Saccharomyces cerevisiae S288C: one gene and its partners. Changing the gene in region 1 together with any one later gene gives a genetic interaction. Each region holds a gene or a part of one and is shown in the gene's direction. Other genes may lie near its edges. The genes, in order: MIH1, CDC27, HUR1 and CDC11.

What was found.
Region 2: mutations in MIH1 (region 1) and CDC27 together harm fitness more than expected from each alone (negative genetic interaction), as found in Saccharomyces cerevisiae (3 studies listed by BioGRID).
Region 3: mutations in MIH1 (region 1) and HUR1 together harm fitness more than expected from each alone (negative genetic interaction), as found in Saccharomyces cerevisiae (2 studies listed by BioGRID).
Region 4: mutations in MIH1 (region 1) and CDC11 together harm fitness more than expected from each alone (negative genetic interaction), as found in Saccharomyces cerevisiae (4 studies listed by BioGRID, with this or other methods).

The regions. Positions count from the first base shown.
Region 1 is NC_001145.3:340,099-346,507, reverse strand, and holds MIH1 (putative tyrosine protein phosphatase MIH1), read left to right. Parts: upstream 1-2,987; coding exon 2,988-4,652; downstream 4,653-6,409. Other genes in the region: stress-responsive transcriptional activator MSN2, read left to right, coding at 1-2,105; IMP2 (endopeptidase catalytic subunit), read right to left, coding at 4,833-5,366; RCH1 (Rch1p), read left to right, coding at 5,786-6,409.
Region 2 is NC_001134.8:65,629-72,275, reverse strand, and holds CDC27 (anaphase promoting complex subunit CDC27), read left to right. Parts: upstream 1-2,830; coding exon 2,831-5,107; downstream 5,108-6,647. Other genes in the region: YBL081W (uncharacterized protein), read right to left, coding at 1-410; ALG3 (dolichyl-P-Man:Man(5)GlcNAc(2)-PP-dolichol alpha-1,3-mannosyltransferase), read left to right, coding at 1,149-2,525; BOI1 (Boi1p), read right to left, coding at 5,458-6,647. UniProt on the Saccharomyces cerevisiae protein: Component of the anaphase promoting complex/cyclosome (APC/C), a cell cycle-regulated E3 ubiquitin-protein ligase complex that controls progression through mitosis and the G1 phase of the cell cycle.
Region 3 is NC_001139.9:184,298-189,251, forward strand, and holds HUR1 (Hur1p), read left to right. Parts: upstream 1-3,166; coding exon 3,167-3,499; downstream 3,500-4,954. Other genes in the region: SPO74 (Spo74p), read right to left, coding at 1-1,097; SUA5 (threonylcarbamoyladenylate synthase), read left to right, coding at 1,762-3,042; Ca(2+)/Mn(2+)-transporting P-type ATPase PMR1, read right to left, coding at 3,319-4,954.
Region 4 is NC_001142.9:574,854-578,679, reverse strand, and holds CDC11 (septin CDC11), read left to right. Parts: upstream 1-2,078; coding exon 2,079-3,326; downstream 3,327-3,826. Other genes in the region: MIR1 (Mir1p), read left to right, coding at 490-1,425; HOC1 (alpha-1,6-mannosyltransferase), read right to left, coding at 3,509-3,826. UniProt on the Saccharomyces cerevisiae protein: Septins are GTPases involved in cytokinesis that assemble early in the cell cycle as a patch at the incipient bud site and form a ring approximate 15 minutes before bud emergence, which transforms into an hour-glass shaped collar of cortical filaments that spans both sides of the mother-bud neck.

The DNA.
Region 1 (6,409 bases):
ACCATGATTTCAATAGCGAAGATATTTTATTCCCCATAGAAAGCATGAGTAGTATACAATACGTGGAGAATAATAACCCAAATAATATTAACAACGATGTTATCCCGTATTCTCTAGATATCAAAAACACTGTCTTAGATAGTGCGGATCTCAATGACATTCAAAATCAAGAAACTTCACTGAATTTGGGGCTTCCTCCACTATCTTTCGACTCTCCACTGCCCGTAACGGAAACGATACCATCCACTACCGATAACAGCTTGCATTTGAAAGCTGATAGCAACAAAAATCGCGATGCAAGAACTATTGAAAATGATAGTGAAATTAAGAGTACTAATAATGCTAGTGGCTCTGGGGCAAATCAATACACAACTCTTACTTCACCTTATCCTATGAACGACATTTTGTACAACATGAACAATCCGTTACAATCACCGTCACCTTCATCGGTACCTCAAAATCCGACTATAAATCCTCCCATAAATACAGCAAGTAACGAAACTAATTTATCGCCTCAAACTTCAAATGGTAATGAAACTCTTATATCTCCTCGAGCCCAACAACATACGTCCATTAAAGATAATCGTCTGTCCTTACCTAATGGTGCTAATTCGAATCTTTTCATTGACACTAACCCAAACAATTTGAACGAAAAACTAAGAAATCAATTGAACTCAGATACAAATTCATATTCTAACTCCATTTCTAATTCAAACTCCAATTCTACGGGTAATTTAAATTCCAGTTATTTTAATTCACTGAACATAGACTCCATGCTAGATGATTACGTTTCTAGTGATCTCTTATTGAATGATGATGATGATGACACTAATTTATCACGCCGAAGATTTAGCGACGTTATAACAAACCAATTTCCGTCAATGACAAATTCGAGGAATTCTATTTCTCACTCTTTGGACCTTTGGAACCATCCGAAAATTAATCCAAGCAATAGAAATACAAATCTCAATATCACTACTAATTCTACCTCAAGTTCCAATGCAAGTCCGAATACCACTACTATGAACGCAAATGCAGACTCAAATATTGCTGGCAACCCGAAAAACAATGACGCTACCATAGACAATGAGTTGACACAGATTCTTAACGAATATAATATGAACTTCAACGATAATTTGGGCACATCCACTTCTGGCAAGAACAAATCTGCTTGCCCAAGTTCTTTTGATGCCAATGCTATGACAAAGATAAATCCAAGTCAGCAATTACAGCAACAGCTAAACCGAGTTCAACACAAGCAGCTCACCTCGTCACATAATAACAGTAGCACTAACATGAAATCCTTCAACAGCGATCTTTATTCAAGAAGGCAAAGAGCTTCTTTACCCATAATCGATGATTCACTAAGCTACGACCTGGTTAATAAGCAGGATGAAGACCCCAAGAACGATATGCTGCCGAATTCAAATTTGAGTTCATCTCAACAATTTATCAAACCGTCTATGATTCTTTCAGACAATGCGTCCGTTATTGCGAAAGTGGCGACTACAGGCTTGAGTAATGATATGCCATTTTTGACAGAGGAAGGTGAACAAAATGCTAATTCTACTCCAAATTTCGATCTTTCCATCACTCAAATGAATATGGCTCCATTATCGCCTGCATCATCATCCTCCACGTCTCTTGCAACAAATCATTTCTATCACCATTTCCCACAGCAGGGTCACCATACCATGAACTCTAAAATCGGTTCTTCCCTTCGGAGGCGGAAGTCTGCTGTGCCTTTGATGGGTACGGTGCCGCTTACAAATCAACAAAATAATATAAGCAGTAGTAGTGTCAACTCAACTGGCAATGGTGCTGGGGTTACGAAGGAAAGAAGGCCAAGTTACAGGAGAAAATCAATGACACCGTCCAGAAGATCAAGTGTCGTAATAGAATCAACAAAGGAACTCGAGGAGAAACCGTTCCACTGTCACATTTGTCCCAAGAGCTTTAAGCGCAGCGAACATTTGAAAAGGCATGTGAGATCTGTTCACTCTAACGAACGACCATTTGCTTGTCACATATGCGATAAGAAATTTAGTAGAAGCGATAATTTGTCGCAACACATCAAGACTCATAAAAAACATGGAGACATTTAATAGACCCCATTTTTTTAATTCGATAGATCTTTCTTCATAAGATAATTCTGTTCAATGACTTATGAAGCTTACGGCTTATTGTTATTATTATCATGATTCTTTGCCATTTTTCCGGTACCTTCACATTTTGAAGGAATTCAGTTCCCCCGCCTGTAACAACTTAGATACACGTAGATAAAAATTAATATAGCCAAAATATTTGGTATGATAGGGTATAGTATAATATAATTAATACAATATAATATAATATAGTACAGTACAGTATAATATTGTATAATATCATATGGCACCGTAATATCATATATATATCCGTACAGTTTAATGAATTCCGTGCGCATTATGCTGTGCAATATGCCTGTCAGTTTGAAAATCGAAGATACCACATCGTACAAAAGCAAGAGGGGTGCCCCTAATGGGAGAAGATTACCGTTTTTATTTTGGGGTAGCTAACTGCGCCACAAATAGTATCTACCAGTTTGCTACTTTTAGAACTGTATTATGTATCTTTGCCGAATACTTAATTTCCTAGGCCTCATTTTCAGGACTAAGGATGAAGAGGGGCTTCAATGTTTTATATGGCGCTTTTTCTGTCCATTGTATACGTCAAAAAAGCATAGATACTCCACTTATTAGCGGTAAAGCCCTTTTTGATACATTGTTCCGGCGTTTAAATATTCTCATTATGATATTTCCCCAACAGTTACACTCTGTTATTTCCTTCTTTTTTATGCTTTATCTGTTTTTTCCCTGTTTCGATGCCGTATATCAGAAAACTTAAAGTTACAAGCGAAAACAAAGAAAAGAGAGTTAACTTGAAAGGAGACAAAAGATAAACAGAGCAGTGGACAAACCAGGATTGAAGTCAGCGAGGGTGAAGAAACCATGAACAATATATTTCATGGAACTGAAGATGAATGTGCCAATGAAGACGTTCTTAGTTTCCAAAAAATTTCCTTGAAAAGTCCCTTTGGTAAGAAGAAGAACATATTTAGAAATGTTCAGACCTTCTTTAAGTCAAAAAGCAAACATTCGAATGTCGACGATGATTTAATCAATAAAGAGAATCTTGCCTTTGATAAATCTCCATTGTTAACAAATCACAGGAGTAAGGAAATTGATGGTCCTTCACCGAATATAAAGCAGCTTGGCCATCGCGATGAGTTAGATGAAAATGAAAATGAAAATGATGATATAGTCTTAAGCATGCATTTTGCTTCTCAAACCTTACAAAGTCCAACAAGAAACTCATCAAGAAGATCTTTGACCAATAATAGGGATAATGATCTTTTAAGTAGAATCAAGTATCCTGGCAGTCCCCAGAGGTCGAGCTCTTTTTCAAGGTCAAGGTCCTTGTCGAGAAAGCCAAGCATGAATAGCAGTAGCAATTCAAGCAGGAGGGTGCAACGGCAAGATGGGAAAATTCCGAGGTCATCGAGAAAAAGTTCACAGAAATTTTCTAACATTACTCAGAATACTTTGAACTTCACGTCTGCGTCATCCAGTCCACTAGCTCCTAATTCGGTAGGGGTGAAATGTTTTGAATCATGCCTAGCCAAAACACAGATACCATATTATTATGACGATCGTAACTCAAATGACTTTTTCCCTCGAATTTCTCCAGAAACGTTGAAAAATATTCTGCAGAATAATATGTGCGAGTCATTTTATAATTCATGTCGTATTATAGATTGTCGGTTTGAATACGAATATACTGGCGGCCACATAATAAACTCCGTTAACATACACTCGAGAGATGAGTTAGAGTACGAATTTATCCATAAAGTTTTGCATAGCGATACTAGCAACAACAACACTCTACCAACTCTTTTAATTATCCATTGCGAATTTAGTTCCCACCGGGGACCTTCATTGGCCTCTCATTTGAGAAATTGTGATCGTATAATAAATCAGGATCATTATCCCAAATTATTCTATCCCGACATATTGATATTGGATGGCGGATACAAAGCTGTTTTTGACAATTTTCCTGAACTATGTTATCCACGTCAGTACGTGGGAATGAACTCACAAGAAAATTTGCTGAATTGTGAACAAGAAATGGATAAGTTTAGGAGAGAATCTAAAAGATTTGCTACTAAAAATAATTCTTTTAGAAAACTAGCTTCCCCTTCAAATCCTAACTTCTTTTATAGAGATAGCCATCAATCTTCAACAACAATGGCATCTTCTGCACTATCGTTCAGGTTTGAGCCGCCTCCGAAGCTGTCATTAAACCACAGAAGAGTCTCTAGTGGTTCATCATTAAATTCAAGTGAGAGTACAGGCGACGAAAATTTCTTCCCCATCTTAAGTAAGTCGTCTATGAGTAGTAACAGTAACCTAAGCACTTCACATATGCTACTAATGGACGGACTGGATACCCCATCATATTTTAGTTTCGAAGATGAGAGAGGCAATCATCAGCAAGTAAGTGGAGATGAAGAGCAAGACGGAGATTTTACTTTCGTTGGTTCCGACCGAGAAGATTTACCCAGGCCCGCAAGAAGATCGTTATTCCCTTCTCTAGAGACTGAAGATAAAAAATGATACTACATGTGCATGAAGTATTATGAAAAAAAGAAGTATATATTCAGGAACCGAACGGCAACAACATCAATACATAAATCACAATCATCTATATTTATTGCATTAGATTAATCACATAATATAAAAAATTTGCATTTGAATACCGGGGTCACTTCTAAATTCATAAAAATAAGCTGATTTTCATTCTAAAATGGCTCTTTTGCTAATGCAGTCTCTACCGGTACTCAGTTTGAGATCCGTTCCCCACCTGGAGGGTGGCCAAACAATTGTTATAGCTTTCCCTATGACCAACCCACTGGAAATGGGGCCAAAAGTATTGCTATCAATCGAATGAAAATAATTGTCCCCTTCGACCCATATGTGTCCCCTGGGCAGGTTCACTTGAGGTTTAGGGTATGGAAACTTCGTGTCAATGGTATCAAACGGTAAACCTTTAACCCTTTTGCAGTAAACTTTCCGAGGGTTTGTAGGAGCTTTGAAAAGGATAATGTCATCTCTAGATAAATTACTTGGGTTCTTGACTCCAAACTTCCAAAGCAGCACCCAATCTGTTGCCAGCGTTTCCGTTTGCGGGTTCAGCGTAGGCTGCATAGAGGTACCTTTAACTTGCGCAATATGGACCACATTATTATTGATTGTTAGAAGTACCGGAACCCATGAAATTGCTATTAGTGTGTTTCGTAAGAATCTTTTTGATGATCCGGCTCGAAACATTACTGTACAGTACAATGCAACAGCTTCATGAATAGCAGCACGCCTTCGTTAACAAGCACCCATCTAGTCATTCAATTAAGGCACTTGTTTTTTCCATTTTTTTCAGTAGCTCGGAACTTAGCCTCGCTCTCCTTCCGAGCTTGATCTTCCACAGTATTTCGATGACATTGGTCTACCCGTAAGTCTGAGCTCCAACGAACAGCCAGAAGCTAAGAAAGCATAAAAAAGAACCGAACCACTTTAAAATCTAGCAAATTTTAACCTTCAATTATATAAAGAGAGATTTATAGCTTTTTATTGCCTGAAACCGTCTATGCTACCTGAATCACCTTCGCACCCTTTTCTACGATATATCCCAACTCTGACATAACTTGCAAAAAGAAGGAAGACACACATTTAATACACCTACTTAGTGCCAAATGAAGACTCAGTACTCTCTAATACGAAAAATTTGGGCACATTCAGTAACAGAATTTCTGAAATCCCAGTGGTTTTTCATCTGTTTGGCTATTTTAATCGTTATTGCAAGATTTGCTCCGAATTTTGCAAGAGACGGAGGGTTAATTAAAGGCCAATATAGTATTGGGTACGGCTGCGTCGCCTGGATTTTTCTCCAAAGTGGCCTGGGAATGAAATCAAGGTCACTAATGGCAAATATGTTAAATTGGAGAGCTCATGCCACTATTCTGGTTCTGAGTTTCCTTATTACCTCGTCCATAGTATATGGATTTTGTTGCGCGGTAAAGGCTGCTAATGATCCGAAAATAGATGACTGGGTACTTATCGGTCTAATTTTGACTGCCACTTGTCCAACAACCGTGGCTTCAAACGTTATCATGACTACGAATGCAGGTGGAAATAGCCTTTTGTGCGTTTGTGAAGTATTCATTGGAAATTTGTTGGGTGCGTTTATTACACCTGCATTGGTTCAAATGTTTACTAACCGCGCACCATTTGCATACGGCAACCCTGCCACTGGAAATGGCATTGGTGCGCTTTATGGCCGTGTTATGAAACAGGTTGGTCTCTCTGTATTCGTACCC
Region 2 (6,647 bases), on another chromosome or scaffold:
GACGTATACTGGGGATATTGCTTGTATTTTTGCTGGTTCAAATTATTGTTAGCGCTAAATCTGTGGTGTTTCTTTTGGGTATTCATATATGGTACGTCATTAGCTCTGTTCTGGTTGTAAGCCCCGTACGGGGCCGATGGAATAGATCTGTTAATGGATTGTAGACCAGCTTGGTTATGTGGGTTTACACTGCTGTTATTGTTGTTGTTGTAATAGTAATAGCTACCAGTGTTGTTGTATTTCATGTGATTGTAATGGGGGTGGTAGTTCGACTGGTGGGAGGGCGCATTGTGAGACTGGAAGGAATTACTGGACTGATGAAGGAGCTTCAAACTGCGGTACTCCAACAAGTATTTATCCATGTCCTCGTTCTGCGACAAAAACGGAATGCTGATTATCTGGCCTGGCATATATACGATGTCTTAGTGAAATAGAGCCAAAAAAAAAAAAGAAAATTATTACAAAAAACCGAAACCCAAATGATAAATAATAATAGTAACAAATAATAATAATGGAAATCAAAAAAGTCGTATCAAATATTAAGCGAAGGATGGAAGGTACCTCTTGTTCTAGGTGCCACGATGCAGAAAAAAAGATCAGGAAAAACGAATGGGAAAAAGAGAAAAAGCTGGAAACGGGATTCTCTTTTTTCTATGCTGCTTTTGCTTTGCACTATTGGATAGTGTCTGTAGTATCTAAACTGATTGCCTATCTCTTCTGTGCTGGCATCTTATTCGATGTATATAGTTCTTAATATCTAGTGAAAAATTTTTGACAAATTTCTCGAGACCTGAATCTTCGACACGCAAGAAAAAATTGAAAAATTAACGTGGACCCTGGGAAGCGATGAGCTAGAGAAGGTAAATACAGGGTCGTACGACGCAGAAGCATCCCAAAATTGTTGCAACAAGTATGGAATGTCACATTAGAGATTTCCCAATCTTACATGACTCTTTATTGCTGTTTTGTAGATAGCCTTCCATGTAAAATGCATTTGCCGTCACATTCTGTGTGCGGTTGCTGGGTGCTGTAAACAAGCTAAAGAAATTTCGCTATCGAACTTAAAGAACAACGCAGTACACTAGTTGGGAGTGAAAACAGTATCATAGAGTGTGTATGGGAGAGAGAAAGAGTTAGATACTAGTAGTATGGAAGGTGAACAGTCTCCGCAAGGTGAAAAGTCTCTGCAAAGGAAGCAATTTGTCAGACCTCCGCTGGATCTGTGGCAGGATCTCAAGGACGGTGTGCGCTACGTGATCTTCGATTGTAGGGCCAATCTTATCGTTATGCCCCTTTTGATTTTGTTCGAAAGCATGCTGTGCAAGATTATCATTAAGAAGGTAGCTTACACAGAGATCGATTACAAGGCGTACATGGAGCAGATCGAGATGATTCAGCTCGATGGCATGCTGGACTACTCTCAGGTGAGTGGTGGAACGGGCCCGCTGGTGTATCCAGCAGGCCACGTCTTGATCTACAAGATGATGTACTGGCTAACAGAGGGAATGGACCACGTTGAGCGCGGGCAAGTGTTTTTCAGATACTTGTATCTCCTTACACTGGCGTTACAAATGGCGTGTTACTACCTTTTACATCTACCACCGTGGTGTGTGGTCTTGGCGTGCCTCTCTAAAAGATTGCACTCTATTTACGTGCTACGGTTATTCAATGATTGCTTCACTACTTTGTTTATGGTCGTCACGGTTTTGGGGGCTATCGTGGCCAGCAGGTGCCATCAGCGCCCCAAATTAAAGAAGTCCCTTGCGCTGGTGATCTCCGCAACATACAGTATGGCTGTGAGCATTAAGATGAATGCGCTGTTGTATTTCCCTGCAATGATGATTTCTCTATTCATCCTTAATGACGCGAACGTAATCCTTACTTTGTTGGATCTCGTTGCGATGATTGCATGGCAAGTCGCAGTTGCAGTGCCCTTCCTGCGCAGCTTTCCGCAACAGTACCTGCATTGCGCTTTTAATTTCGGCAGGAAGTTTATGTACCAATGGAGTATCAATTGGCAAATGATGGATGAAGAGGCTTTCAATGATAAGAGGTTCCACTTGGCCCTTTTAATCAGCCACCTGATAGCGCTCACCACACTGTTCGTCACAAGATACCCTCGCATCCTGCCCGATTTATGGTCTTCCCTGTGCCATCCGCTGAGGAAAAATGCAGTGCTCAATGCCAATCCCGCCAAGACTATTCCATTCGTTCTAATCGCATCCAACTTCATCGGCGTCCTATTTTCAAGGTCCCTCCACTACCAGTTTCTATCCTGGTATCACTGGACTTTGCCTATACTGATCTTTTGGTCGGGAATGCCCTTCTTCGTTGGTCCCATTTGGTACGTCTTGCACGAGTGGTGCTGGAATTCCTATCCACCAAACTCACAAGCAAGCACGCTATTGTTGGCATTGAATACTGTTCTGTTGCTTCTATTGGCCTTGACGCAGCTATCTGGTTCGGTCGCCCTCGCCAAAAGCCATCTTCGTACCACCAGCTCTATGGAAAAAAAGCTCAACTGAAACAGATGTATAAATATCATATAATCGTATTGTTTTAAATCATTTCTTTATACCATCTATATAGTACTACTAGTATTTAATGGTGCCGTTATTACCCGCGCTTGATTTTCCTTTTTTTTTTTGATCAAAAGGATGGAACAGGCTGAAAGTAAACCAAAAGGATCAAAGTGCAAGCAAAGGTGCCACAGAAAAGTTTATCAAAAAACCATACCTAGCTGTGAGAGTTTTAGACTCTGTTTTGGTGACTGCATATCTATTCATAAATCGACACGAACTTTTCGTGCAGGATACATAATAAAAATAGCATGGCGGTAAATCCTGAGTTAGCACCGTTCACCCTCTCGAGAGGAATCCCCAGCTTTGATGATCAAGCTTTGAGCACCATCATACAGCTTCAGGACTGCATTCAGCAGGCTATTCAGCAGTTGAACTACAGTACCGCAGAGTTTTTGGCCGAACTGCTCTATGCTGAATGCTCCATTCTCGATAAATCAAGTGTTTACTGGTCCGATGCGGTATATTTATATGCACTTTCGCTGTTTCTGAATAAAAGCTACCACACTGCGTTCCAGATATCCAAAGAATTCAAGGAGTATCATCTTGGTATCGCTTACATATTCGGGCGTTGTGCTTTACAGCTTTCGCAGGGAGTTAACGAAGCTATCCTCACTCTTCTCTCAATAATAAATGTATTTTCTTCGAACAGCAGTAATACGCGCATAAATATGGTGTTGAATTCTAATCTCGTCCATATTCCCGATTTGGCCACTTTGAATTGCCTGTTAGGCAATCTTTATATGAAACTGGACCATTCTAAGGAGGGAGCATTTTATCATTCTGAAGCATTAGCCATTAATCCTTACCTTTGGGAATCTTACGAAGCGATTTGTAAAATGAGAGCTACCGTGGATCTCAAGAGGGTTTTTTTCGACATTGCAGGGAAAAAAAGTAATAGTCATAATAATAATGCAGCTTCATCGTTTCCGTCTACATCACTATCGCATTTCGAACCTCGTTCACAACCTAGCTTATATTCAAAAACAAACAAAAACGGCAATAATAATATCAATAATAATGTTAATACACTGTTTCAGTCGTCTAATTCTCCCCCTTCTACATCGGCATCTTCTTTTTCTTCCATTCAGCATTTCTCAAGGTCACAGCAGCAACAAGCGAACACATCAATAAGGACCTGCCAGAACAAAAATACTCAAACTCCTAAAAACCCTGCAATCAACAGTAAGACGTCTTCTGCGCTACCAAATAACATTTCCATGAACTTAGTGTCTCCATCCTCCAAACAGCCTACAATAAGCTCGTTGGCCAAAGTTTATAACAGAAACAAACTTTTAACGACTCCTCCATCGAAACTGTTAAATAACGATAGGAACCACCAAAATAACAATAATAATAATAATAATAATAATAATAATAATAATAATAATAATAATAATAATAATAATAATAACATTATAAATAAAACAACTTTCAAAACTCCAAGAAACCTATATTCCTCAACAGGAAGGTTAACAACTTCCAAGAAAAATCCAAGGTCTTTAATAATCAGTAACTCAATACTAACGAGTGATTATTCAATTACGCTGCCTGAAATCATGTATAATTTCGCTTTAATATTAAGGTCGTCATCACAATACAATTCGTTCAAGGCAATAAGACTGTTCGAGTCTCAAATCCCATCTCATATTAAAGACACAATGCCATGGTGTCTAGTGCAATTAGGAAAACTTCATTTTGAGATCATTAATTATGATATGTCCTTAAAGTATTTCAATAGATTGAAAGACCTACAACCGGCAAGGGTAAAAGATATGGAAATTTTTTCTACTTTGCTGTGGCATTTGCATGACAAGGTTAAATCTTCAAATTTGGCAAATGGGCTAATGGATACAATGCCTAATAAGCCCGAAACATGGTGTTGTATAGGTAATTTGCTATCATTGCAAAAGGATCATGATGCCGCAATAAAAGCCTTCGAAAAAGCTACTCAGTTAGACCCAAATTTTGCATACGCGTATACTTTGCAAGGTCATGAACATTCTTCCAACGATTCTTCGGATTCTGCCAAGACATGCTATAGAAAGGCGCTAGCTTGTGATCCTCAGCATTACAATGCATATTACGGATTGGGTACGAGCGCTATGAAATTAGGTCAATATGAAGAAGCGTTGTTATATTTTGAAAAGGCAAGGTCAATTAATCCCGTCAATGTTGTGTTAATCTGTTGTTGCGGTGGTTCTTTAGAAAAGCTGGGCTATAAGGAAAAGGCTCTACAATATTATGAACTAGCATGTCATTTGCAACCGACTTCCTCGCTATCCAAATATAAGATGGGCCAGTTGCTCTATTCCATGACAAGATATAATGTTGCTTTGCAAACTTTTGAAGAATTGGTGAAACTCGTTCCTGATGATGCCACAGCCCATTATTTGCTGGGTCAAACATATAGAATAGTTGGGAGGAAAAAAGATGCAATCAAGGAGCTAACTGTTGCTATGAATTTGGATCCAAAGGGTAACCAAGTTATCATCGATGAATTACAAAAATGTCATATGCAAGAATAAACGCAGGTTGGCCAAAACATAACAAATTGAAACATGTTAAATGTTTTCATAATTCTTTTTGTTCTTCGTTGTTTCATATTTATTTTTAAGTTAATGTAATAGTAATAGTTAATAATAATAACGTTAATGGTAACAATAATAATAATATATATATCCAGTAATTTGAAAGAAGAGGACATCATGTCTGCGGTTCCTGCGATGTACTTCTTGATAGTATCAGTGTCTAATTTGATTGTATTAATTCGTAAACTTTTTATTTTTATATACTTTATATCACTATATTATGTTCTATTAAATATTAATTATTAAGGTGTTTAAGTTGGTCAAGAAGTAACTAATGATTGCAGTTCTCAAAGTCTGCCACCAGGGTATTCAAATGCTGAACTTTCCAGGTAATCGCTGGTCTCAAATTGATCTTGTTCGATTGGATAATTAGAATTTCTTTTATTTTGGGTGTCATCCCATCCAAATTGATCTCTTCCCTCTTCCTCTTCAGCATCTCTTAACTGGGTTTGTAACCTAGCTTCTTCCAATAGCGTCTGTGCCTTGCTTAGAGGTATCGTTGGTGTGGCATATGAACTAATGACAGGGACGCTTGTATCAATATCAATAGTGGCCTTTATTATGGCTGACAGCCATGCCTTCATTTCAGATTTATTCTCAACTGCAAAATAGTGAACGCGAGGTTCTGTAAAGGTTAGCCCCTTTTTGGACCCCGGTTGCGGAGGGACCAATTTGAAACAGTATTTTCCTTTTCCTAAGCTCGCAGCGTATAAGGAAATGAGCCTATCATCATCACTGGCAGGTAAGACCCTATGTGCCGTTATATCTATCAGGCCACGCTCCTTCTCATCATTGGTATTCGTAAAATAAGAAAGCCTTGTTCCATGAAGTGTGAAAAACCGTTGTTTCCAAGTCCCCATAGCACCGGTACCTTTTTTGCTCATCCAGCCTGAACAGTCCGCAGTTTGCATAGATTCCTTTGCTGTGATAGAGCGTATACCTTCGGTAAAAGCAGATGTTTGTTGCTTTTTAGCATTCGACCTGGGAAGTATCGATTTGGTAGATTTTTGGGTAAGTTCACTGGGAGATCTTTTGAATTCCTTGCTTCCTACAAATGATTCTTTGGTGCTACTAAATAATTTCTTTTTGCTTTTTTCTTCGGAAGAGCCATCTTTGGAGCTACTGTTCTTGTGTTTGTGCTTGCTCTTGTGCTTGTGCTTGTGCTTGTGCTTCCCTTCACTTGGTTGTGATACTGCCTCCTTATTATTACTACTAGTAGGAGTTTCGCTATGCGCTAAAGCAATATTGGATTTGGAATTTATAGGGCTTAAAGAAGTTTTCAAGGGGCTGGTAACTAACGAGTGTTTTCTACTATGGGAGTAAGATTGTGATCTTGCATGCGAATAGGAATTCGACTGAGAACGAGAATGGGAAGTCATCTTTGCGGGATCGATAGTGAAAGTTTGTTTGGTTGGTGACGTTGGATTAGACTGACTTTTTGAAGAAAAAAAAGATAATATAGAAGAGTTTCTCCTAT
Region 3 (4,954 bases), on another chromosome or scaffold:
ACTCCATTATGTATATTTCTTCCAGAGTTAAAATGCTGCTTGTAATCTGAATTTTTTCTCTGGAATAGAAGTTCATTTTGATTTTCAAATGACATAAAAGGTTTTGTTTGATGTATATTGTTAGGGTGGAAAAAATAGGGTGTTCCACCAGTTATGGAGTTTTGTAGTTCTGCTTTTTCTCCCCAAAAATTTGATGTATTGGACGTGAAATCATAGGTTTCCTCGAAAGACTTTCCGTTTCTTTTCAATCCTAATGGGGGAGAAGGGCGGTTATCTATTGGCAAAAGTGGATTTCTAAAATCCCTAATGGAAGGTAAATTTTGACTTTCAGGTTGATTGGAGAATCTACGAACTGCTAGCTCTCTATTTAGCAAAGAGTTTTCTTGCATATGAAAGAAGTTTAAATCATTCAAAAGTTCCCCCAAAATTTTGAGCTCATATTCTTCATCCAAGTCAATATCTCTGTATTCCAAGAATTTCTTTTGCATTTGAACTGCGTCGTCAAAAAATGGAACACTTGACAAGCAAATGTCAATCTCTTTTTTAATGTATGTAAGCAAGTTGGTTTTTAGAAAACTCACCTCTAATTGTGTTTTGGTAAACGCTGTTGTGGCAGCTGAATACTCGGTTGGAGCTGAATTTGGCCTCTGTCCCTTGTATGGTGAAGTGGAAATATTCAATTCCATGACCGGTTCCTTTATTTCTTCTAATCCGCTTGTAAAATGAAAGGGCTGCATGTGTTTAGTTTTGTAACCTTCTGTATTACACCAAAAACTTTCCCAATTTTTAAATTGACACTCTTTCAAGCTTGGACTAGAGTCCGGAGCCAGTTTTAAGCCATCATTAAAATCGTCCGTGTGTTCAGATCTTTCGTGTATATCTTTATTTTCATGGAATATGTTGCTTGCAGTCCCCATTTTAGATGACTTTTCTTCATCTTTTTGGGACTTCTGTTTTACTGGACTATTTCTTTTACTTTCCTTACTAGTATTGCCATCTTCTTGAGAATCCATGTTAGGATACGCAGGCAAATCTGAATGGATGTTATTTGGAAAGTTTTCCTTTTCTAATCCATTTAAAAGAGTGCCAGCTCCCATCACTCAACCAATTCAGCTCTTTCCTTGCCAATACAACATAACCGGGAAGAGTTTCAAGTTTGACTTCCAACTAAATACCTAATGTTTTATTGTTGTTATTTATATTTCTTGTGACACAAAAGAGAACATTGATGTCATTTGAGCCTTATCGTTGGAAAGGATAAATAAGCGGTTTAAAAGGATAAAAGAAGCGCAAGCAACAAATCTCAACACAAGTGTAAACCATATGAATGGGGTTAAATGCCTTCTTCTTTGAGATATAAAAAGGAAGTAGAATTTAATATATTAGACATTTTTTTGATTTGAGCCTAAAAAAGATAGCCCTGTAGGGGGCTCGAACCCCTAACCTTATGATTAAGAGTCATACGCGCTACCGATTGCGCCAACAAGGCTATTTCGTTGAAAAATTCAGGCTTCAAAATTATTATATGTATCAAAAATATTTTTTTGAGAAATTTCAAATCATTATCTACGCTAGCCTTACTATTTTTTCACCCAGAAGATAGTAACCTCATCGCACATACCTATTGAAGCTGATAATATTTGAAGCGAGAGCTTTATTCTTCTCCTCAAATTTTTTTTTTCTTCTGCGCTGTTAACTTACCACTAAACCTGTTTCCATTTTTAATGGTAGTCCTGTTTATTATTCCATTTTTAGAATTGTATGTACCTTGGACGACATTTTTTGGCAATGACATCGAAAGCACTGTTTGATACCAAGATCTTAAAAGTTAACCCGCTATCAATCATTTTCTCCCCTGATGCGCATATAGATGGTTCCTTACCAACGATAACAGATCCTGAAACGGAAGCAGCGCTAGTTGAAGCGGCGAGGATAATAAGAGATACAGATGAGACTGTGGCTTTTCCAACCGAAACTGTTTATGGTCTTGGAGGTTCTGCTTTAAATGATAATTCAGTGCTTAGTATATACAGGGCCAAAAATAGGCCTAGTGACAATCCTTTGATTACACATGTTTCATCCATTGATCAACTTAACAGAAAGGTCTTTAATCAACCGCATCTATCAGGTACATCCTTGTTTGATAACATACCCTCAATCTATCGCCCATTAATTTCAAGCCTTTGGCCTGGCCCATTAACAATTCTTTTGCCAGTTCCATCTTCAGAGCATAGTGCATTATCAAAGTTAACGACCGCAGATCAGCCTACGTTTGCGGTACGCATACCCGCTAATCCAGTGGCTAGAGCACTGATTGCCCTGAGCGATACACCAATAGCTGCTCCTTCAGCGAATGCGTCTACTAGGCCATCTCCTACTTTAGCGTCTCATGTTTATCATGATCTAAAGGATAAAATTCCCATAATTCTTGATGGCGGAGCGTGCAAGGTTGGTGTAGAAAGTACTGTTGTTGATGGGTTATGTAATCCTCCTACGCTACTGCGACCTGGCGGTTTTACATATGAAGAAATTGTTAAATTGGGTGGTGAAGCTTGGTCTCTTTGTAAAGTTGAGAATAAGAAAACAGTTGAAAAGGGCGAAAAGGTAAGAACGCCTGGTATGAAGTATAGACACTATTCCCCTTCAGCTAAAGTTGTTTTACTAGTTCCTCATTGCGAAGGCGATGGCATTCTTAAGGGCGTTGATAGGATGGAAAGATTAAAGAGGTTAATCGAAACGGAATTAAAAGCCAACAGTAATATAAAAAAAATTGCGATTTTAACTTCCCTAAAATTACGTGATTCCGACTTACAATCTAAGATCTTTAATGAACCCGATTTTTCTTCGAAAACTTTCATCATCGAAAGACTTGGCCAATCTGGTGAAGAAATACAGACTAACTTGTTTGCAGCTTTAAGAAAAGTGGATGAAAATGATAAAGTAGACCTAATATTTGTCGAAGGTATAAATGAGGAAGGAGAAGGATTAGCTGTTATGAACAGATTGCGAAAGGCGGCTGCAAATAATTGTATACAGTTTTAAATAAAACTGTGATTAACTTTTGAAAATCATAACCACTGATTACGGAGATTTTATATCTAGTCCGGAAAAAGAAGGAAAGAATAAAATTTTATATTGCTTTGTATATACGAAAAGTCGCCCATACATGTTTATCTTAGTATCCGTTGTAAATATATGTACATATATACATCTACATATGTTCCCATTAATTAGTACATTTACCTCAATAGGGTTGGGCGTCCTCATGAAAGATAAAGGGAAGGAAGGAAAAACGATAAAAGCACAAAATGTGACATATCAAACATTTGAGAAATACGTTGAGTCTTCTTCATTCTTTTTCCTCGTCCACAATTTTCTCAATTCATCAACGATGAAAACGCTACTGCTGATGAGCAATAACAATAGTATATCAGAGATACCAAGTTTCTCAGTTTTAAAGATACTTTGGAAAAATGGTATATATATAGCGCACATTTGACCTAACAGAGACAGTCCAACGGCGTAGTTGAACATTTTGTTCGTGAAAAAGCCGATTTCGAAGATTGACTTTGTGTTATGTCTGCAGGCCAAAGCATTAAACATATCAAAAAAAACAAAACAAGTAAATGTCATAGTAGTATCTCTAGCAGTTACTTTACCATCTTCGGCCATCTCTTTAACAAAAATGTAAACTGTCCCAACGATGATACAGGCCGCGGTGGTTAGTAAACGTTTCATTACATCATGGGTCAAAATTTTATCGGTACGTTTTCTTGGAGGTTTTTTCATAACTTCATGATCAACAGGTTCCACACCTAAGGATTGAGCTGGTGGCCCATCCATTAAAATATTTATCCAAAGAATTTGCATTGCGTTCAGTGGATTGGGTAGTTTAAACGCTGTAGATAGTGCAACTAATGATAGTGCGGCAACAGAAGTAGACAATTGAAAAGTCAGGAAATTCTGAATATTATTAAAGATACCTTTACCCTCTTCAATGGCAGTTAAAATAGTACTGAAGTCATCATCAGTTAAGACCATATCTGAGGCTTCTTTGGCTACATCTGTACCAATTCTACCCATAGAAACACCAATATCTGAAAGTTTCAACGCAGGAGCGTCGTTAACACCATCACCAGTCATTGCTACCACATCACCCCTCTTTCTTAATGCACGAACAATGTTTAACTTATGCTCAGGCGTAGCACGAGCAAAAATATTAACGTGGTCGATGACATTGGCCAGTTGATCATCTGACATTTCATCTAATTTATCACCGGATAAAACGGAAAGCTTTGGATCAATAACTGGAATACCAATTTGTTTTGCAATGTTTACTGCGGTATTCTCAGAATCACCAGTGATCATAATAATATGGACACCACCTTGTAGTAATTGTTCGATGGCAAATTTAACGTTCGGTCTTGGTGGGTCATTCATACCGATTAAACCAGTAAAGGTTAAATCTTTGATTAGGTCTTCGGTTAGAGGAGTTGATGAATCAGACAAAGTTAGTTTAGCAAATCCAAAGACACGCAAACCTTCAGATGCCATAGAATTTGCGCACTCATTTATCGTAGCTTTTTGGGCTTCAGTCAACTTTTCAGTTTTTTTACCCTTTGATTTCAAATAACTTGTGGAGTACTCAAGAATTCTTTCAAATGCACCTTTAACATAAACTGTACACTTATTGTCGACAGGGTTGAGAATCTTGGTTGCCATTAATTTTCTTTTCGAGTTAAATGGAAGTTCCTGAACTTTTTGAACGGTGTTTCTGATATCAGGCATTTCAAAGTTTGCCAATTGCTCTAAAAGAGCTACATCAGTAGGATTTCCCAGAAATATGGCATGTTCTTGAGAGAAAGATGCATTATTACAGAGATTACCGATAGTTAGAGTTTCCCTAACGTCTTCAGTCAAATAGTTTTTCAAATTTCCATTAGAATTTTTAGTC
Region 4 (3,826 bases), on another chromosome or scaffold:
ATTACGACAATTAAGCAGCACAAGTGTCTGGCGCAATGCCTGACTACTGGGAAAAGTCGAAGCATTTGCACGGCGTCCATTACGATGGTTAAGGCAGTTTACGACGAATTGCGGAGTCAAGTTTTAATATTTATAGATAGCCCTGTCACCAGTATCGGGTGTTGTTTCTACCCAAGCGCCTGCCAGCCTCAAACAATACAACAGGTATTGTTTTTGGACAGCGGAATGCTGCGATGCAACAGTATCGCAGCATGGTACTGCTTTCCTCTAGTCTTTTGTCGAATGTGAGCAAGCAGCAGCTGAGACTCTGCCCAACCATCGTTAGCCAATCAGCGTCGAGAACGGGTCCCATGCCCGGCCGCGGCCCGTTTCGAGAAGATTTTTAAGTGCGATCCATCCTCCCGATCTTTTTATCTACAAGAACCATCGCAAAGAACAGAGTGATCTGCAAGAAGAAGAACTACAAAGATCAAAAAGTCTCATCTCACCATGTCTGTGTCTGCTGCTCCTGCTATTCCACAGTACTCTGTCTCTGACTACATGAAATTCGCCCTAGCCGGCGCCATAGGGTGCGGGTCGACTCACTCCAGTATGGTCCCGATCGATGTCGTTAAGACGAGAATCCAACTGGAACCTACCGTGTACAACAAGGGTATGGTCGGCTCTTTCAAGCAAATCATCGCCGGAGAAGGTGCTGGTGCGTTGTTGACCGGGTTTGGTCCTACTTTGTTGGGTTACTCTATCCAAGGTGCCTTCAAGTTCGGTGGTTACGAAGTGTTCAAGAAGTTCTTCATTGACAACTTGGGTTACGATACCGCCTCTCGCTACAAGAACTCTGTTTACATGGGTTCTGCTGCCATGGCCGAATTCTTGGCAGACATTGCCTTGTGTCCCCTAGAAGCCACTAGAATCAGATTGGTCTCCCAACCACAGTTCGCTAATGGACTCGTCGGAGGGTTTTCCAGAATTTTGAAAGAAGAAGGTATCGGCTCTTTCTACAGTGGGTTCACTCCAATTTTGTTCAAGCAAATTCCTTACAACATTGCTAAATTCTTGGTCTTTGAACGTGCCTCCGAGTTCTACTACGGGTTCGCCGGTCCAAAAGAAAAATTGTCCTCTACTTCCACTACTTTGTTGAATTTGCTTTCCGGTTTGACTGCTGGTTTGGCCGCTGCCATTGTTTCCCAGCCAGCAGACACTCTGTTGTCCAAGGTCAACAAGACTAAGAAGGCTCCTGGCCAATCCACAGTCGGTTTGTTGGCTCAGTTGGCCAAACAGTTAGGATTTTTCGGTTCCTTTGCTGGGTTGCCTACTCGTTTGGTCATGGTTGGTACCTTGACCTCCTTGCAATTTGGTATTTATGGTTCTTTAAAGAGCACTTTGGGTTGCCCACCAACCATTGAAATTGGTGGTGGTGGTCATTAGAAATGGTCTTGATTGATACATGCATATATATTCTCTCCTCATCACCACCGGAGCCCCTTTTTTTTTTCATATTCTAAGAAAGAGTCAACAAAGGAAAGAAATAAATAAATCTGTTTAAATGTACTCTATTCAATCACTAGTATTCTTATTCCATGTATTTACTGACTTTGCAAAAGTCCAAATATCTGTAAATTAACATGCTATTATAAATATATATATATATATATATTTGAATTTTCTATTTTTTCATCTACAAAAGCAGGTTATAGCTCCGTTAAACCCTTTGCTCATTGAATTGTCCTTCACGGTTTTTTGGTGGAAAACACAACATGGAACATAACATTTAAACATCGTTCTCAATCCATTTCATCGCAGTAACATATTTGGTCGGGCACATACGGACACGTATATGTTATACAGATAAATATAGCTTAAATATGGCTATATTTACACAACACAATGCTCGTGGGTCGTTACCCGACCATGCAGGATCGCCAGTATTCTTTATTTTTCCGCCTTCTAACATAAAGAAAAATAAACAAAAAAGTATTTGATCGAAAAGTAAAATAGGTAGACACCACGTATTGGCGACCCGATCTGGAGCCGTTTAGAAAGTCAATCATCACAAGGCCTAAAGTTGCTAACCACCAGCCATGTCCGGAATAATTGACGCATCTTCTGCATTAAGAAAAAGAAAGCATTTGAAAAGAGGTATAACCTTCACTGTGATGATCGTGGGCCAGTCCGGATCTGGTAGATCGACTTTTATAAATACTTTGTGCGGTCAGCAAGTTGTAGACACTTCGACGACAATCTTGTTACCCACAGATACGTCCACAGAAATAGACTTACAATTGAGAGAGGAGACGGTCGAATTAGAAGATGATGAAGGTGTCAAGATTCAACTTAATATCATCGATACTCCGGGATTCGGTGATTCTCTCGACAATTCTCCATCTTTCGAAATCATTTCCGACTACATTCGCCACCAATATGATGAAATCTTATTGGAAGAAAGTCGTGTGAGAAGAAACCCAAGATTTAAGGACGGCAGAGTTCATTGTTGTCTTTACTTAATCAACCCAACTGGCCACGGTTTAAAAGAGATTGATGTGGAATTCATCAGACAGTTGGGATCCTTAGTTAACATCATCCCTGTGATCAGCAAATCAGATTCCTTGACAAGAGATGAACTGAAACTGAATAAAAAATTGATCATGGAGGATATCGACAGATGGAACTTGCCAATTTATAATTTCCCTTTCGATGAAGATGAAATATCAGACGAAGATTACGAAACCAATATGTACCTACGTACACTTCTACCTTTTGCTATTATTGGATCCAATGAAGTTTACGAAATGGGCGGCGATGTTGGGACAATTCGTGGCAGAAAGTATCCATGGGGCATACTGGACGTGGAAGATTCATCGATCTCTGATTTTGTTATCTTAAGGAATGCGTTATTGATCTCTCATTTACATGACTTGAAAAACTACACACATGAGATATTATATGAAAGATATAGAACCGAGGCATTATCAGGTGAATCTGTCGCGGCAGAATCCATACGTCCAAATCTGACAAAATTGAATGGTTCGTCGTCATCGTCCACCACAACAAGGAGAAACACAAATCCCTTCAAGCAAAGTAATAATATTAATAACGATGTTCTCAACCCAGCATCCGATATGCACGGGCAAAGCACTGGCGAAAATAACGAAACCTACATGACACGTGAGGAGCAAATACGGTTAGAAGAAGAGCGACTAAAGGCATTTGAGGAGAGAGTTCAGCAAGAACTGCTGTTGAAAAGACAAGAACTGTTGCAAAGAGAAAAGGAATTAAGAGAAATTGAAGCCAGGTTGGAAAAAGAGGCGAAAATCAAACAGGAAGAATGAGTCCGCTTTTGGCTTCCTCACTTATTTCTTCTTTCTCTATATATATAAAGAGTGAGTGTTGTATATAAGTAAATACATCTGGTATATTATTTTTTTTTTTTCTTCATTCTTAAAAAGTATTAATATCGATCAGCAAAAAAAAATTAACAAAAAAGTTCCTTATTATATCTGCGTAGAAGTACTTATTTCTGCTCCACCTTTGGAGTATTTTTCCAAAATTGTGATGCCAAATGAGTAATGAAATAGAATTTCTTGTGTGGATCGTCATTATCGATTTGGTTTGGACAGTTAAAGGAGAATTTTGGAAAGACCAGAACATCACTTAGCAATTTTGGTTGATTTAGGTTATGGAATAATTTCCATGTAACCTTCTCCCTGACACCACTTCTCATAAAGTCATTGAAATACGTGAAAATAGTGTCAGTCCACAACCCAGAACCCGTCCAACTCATAATATTCAGATCATTCCTTAGATTGACGTTTAGTTGGTCGTCCCTCTT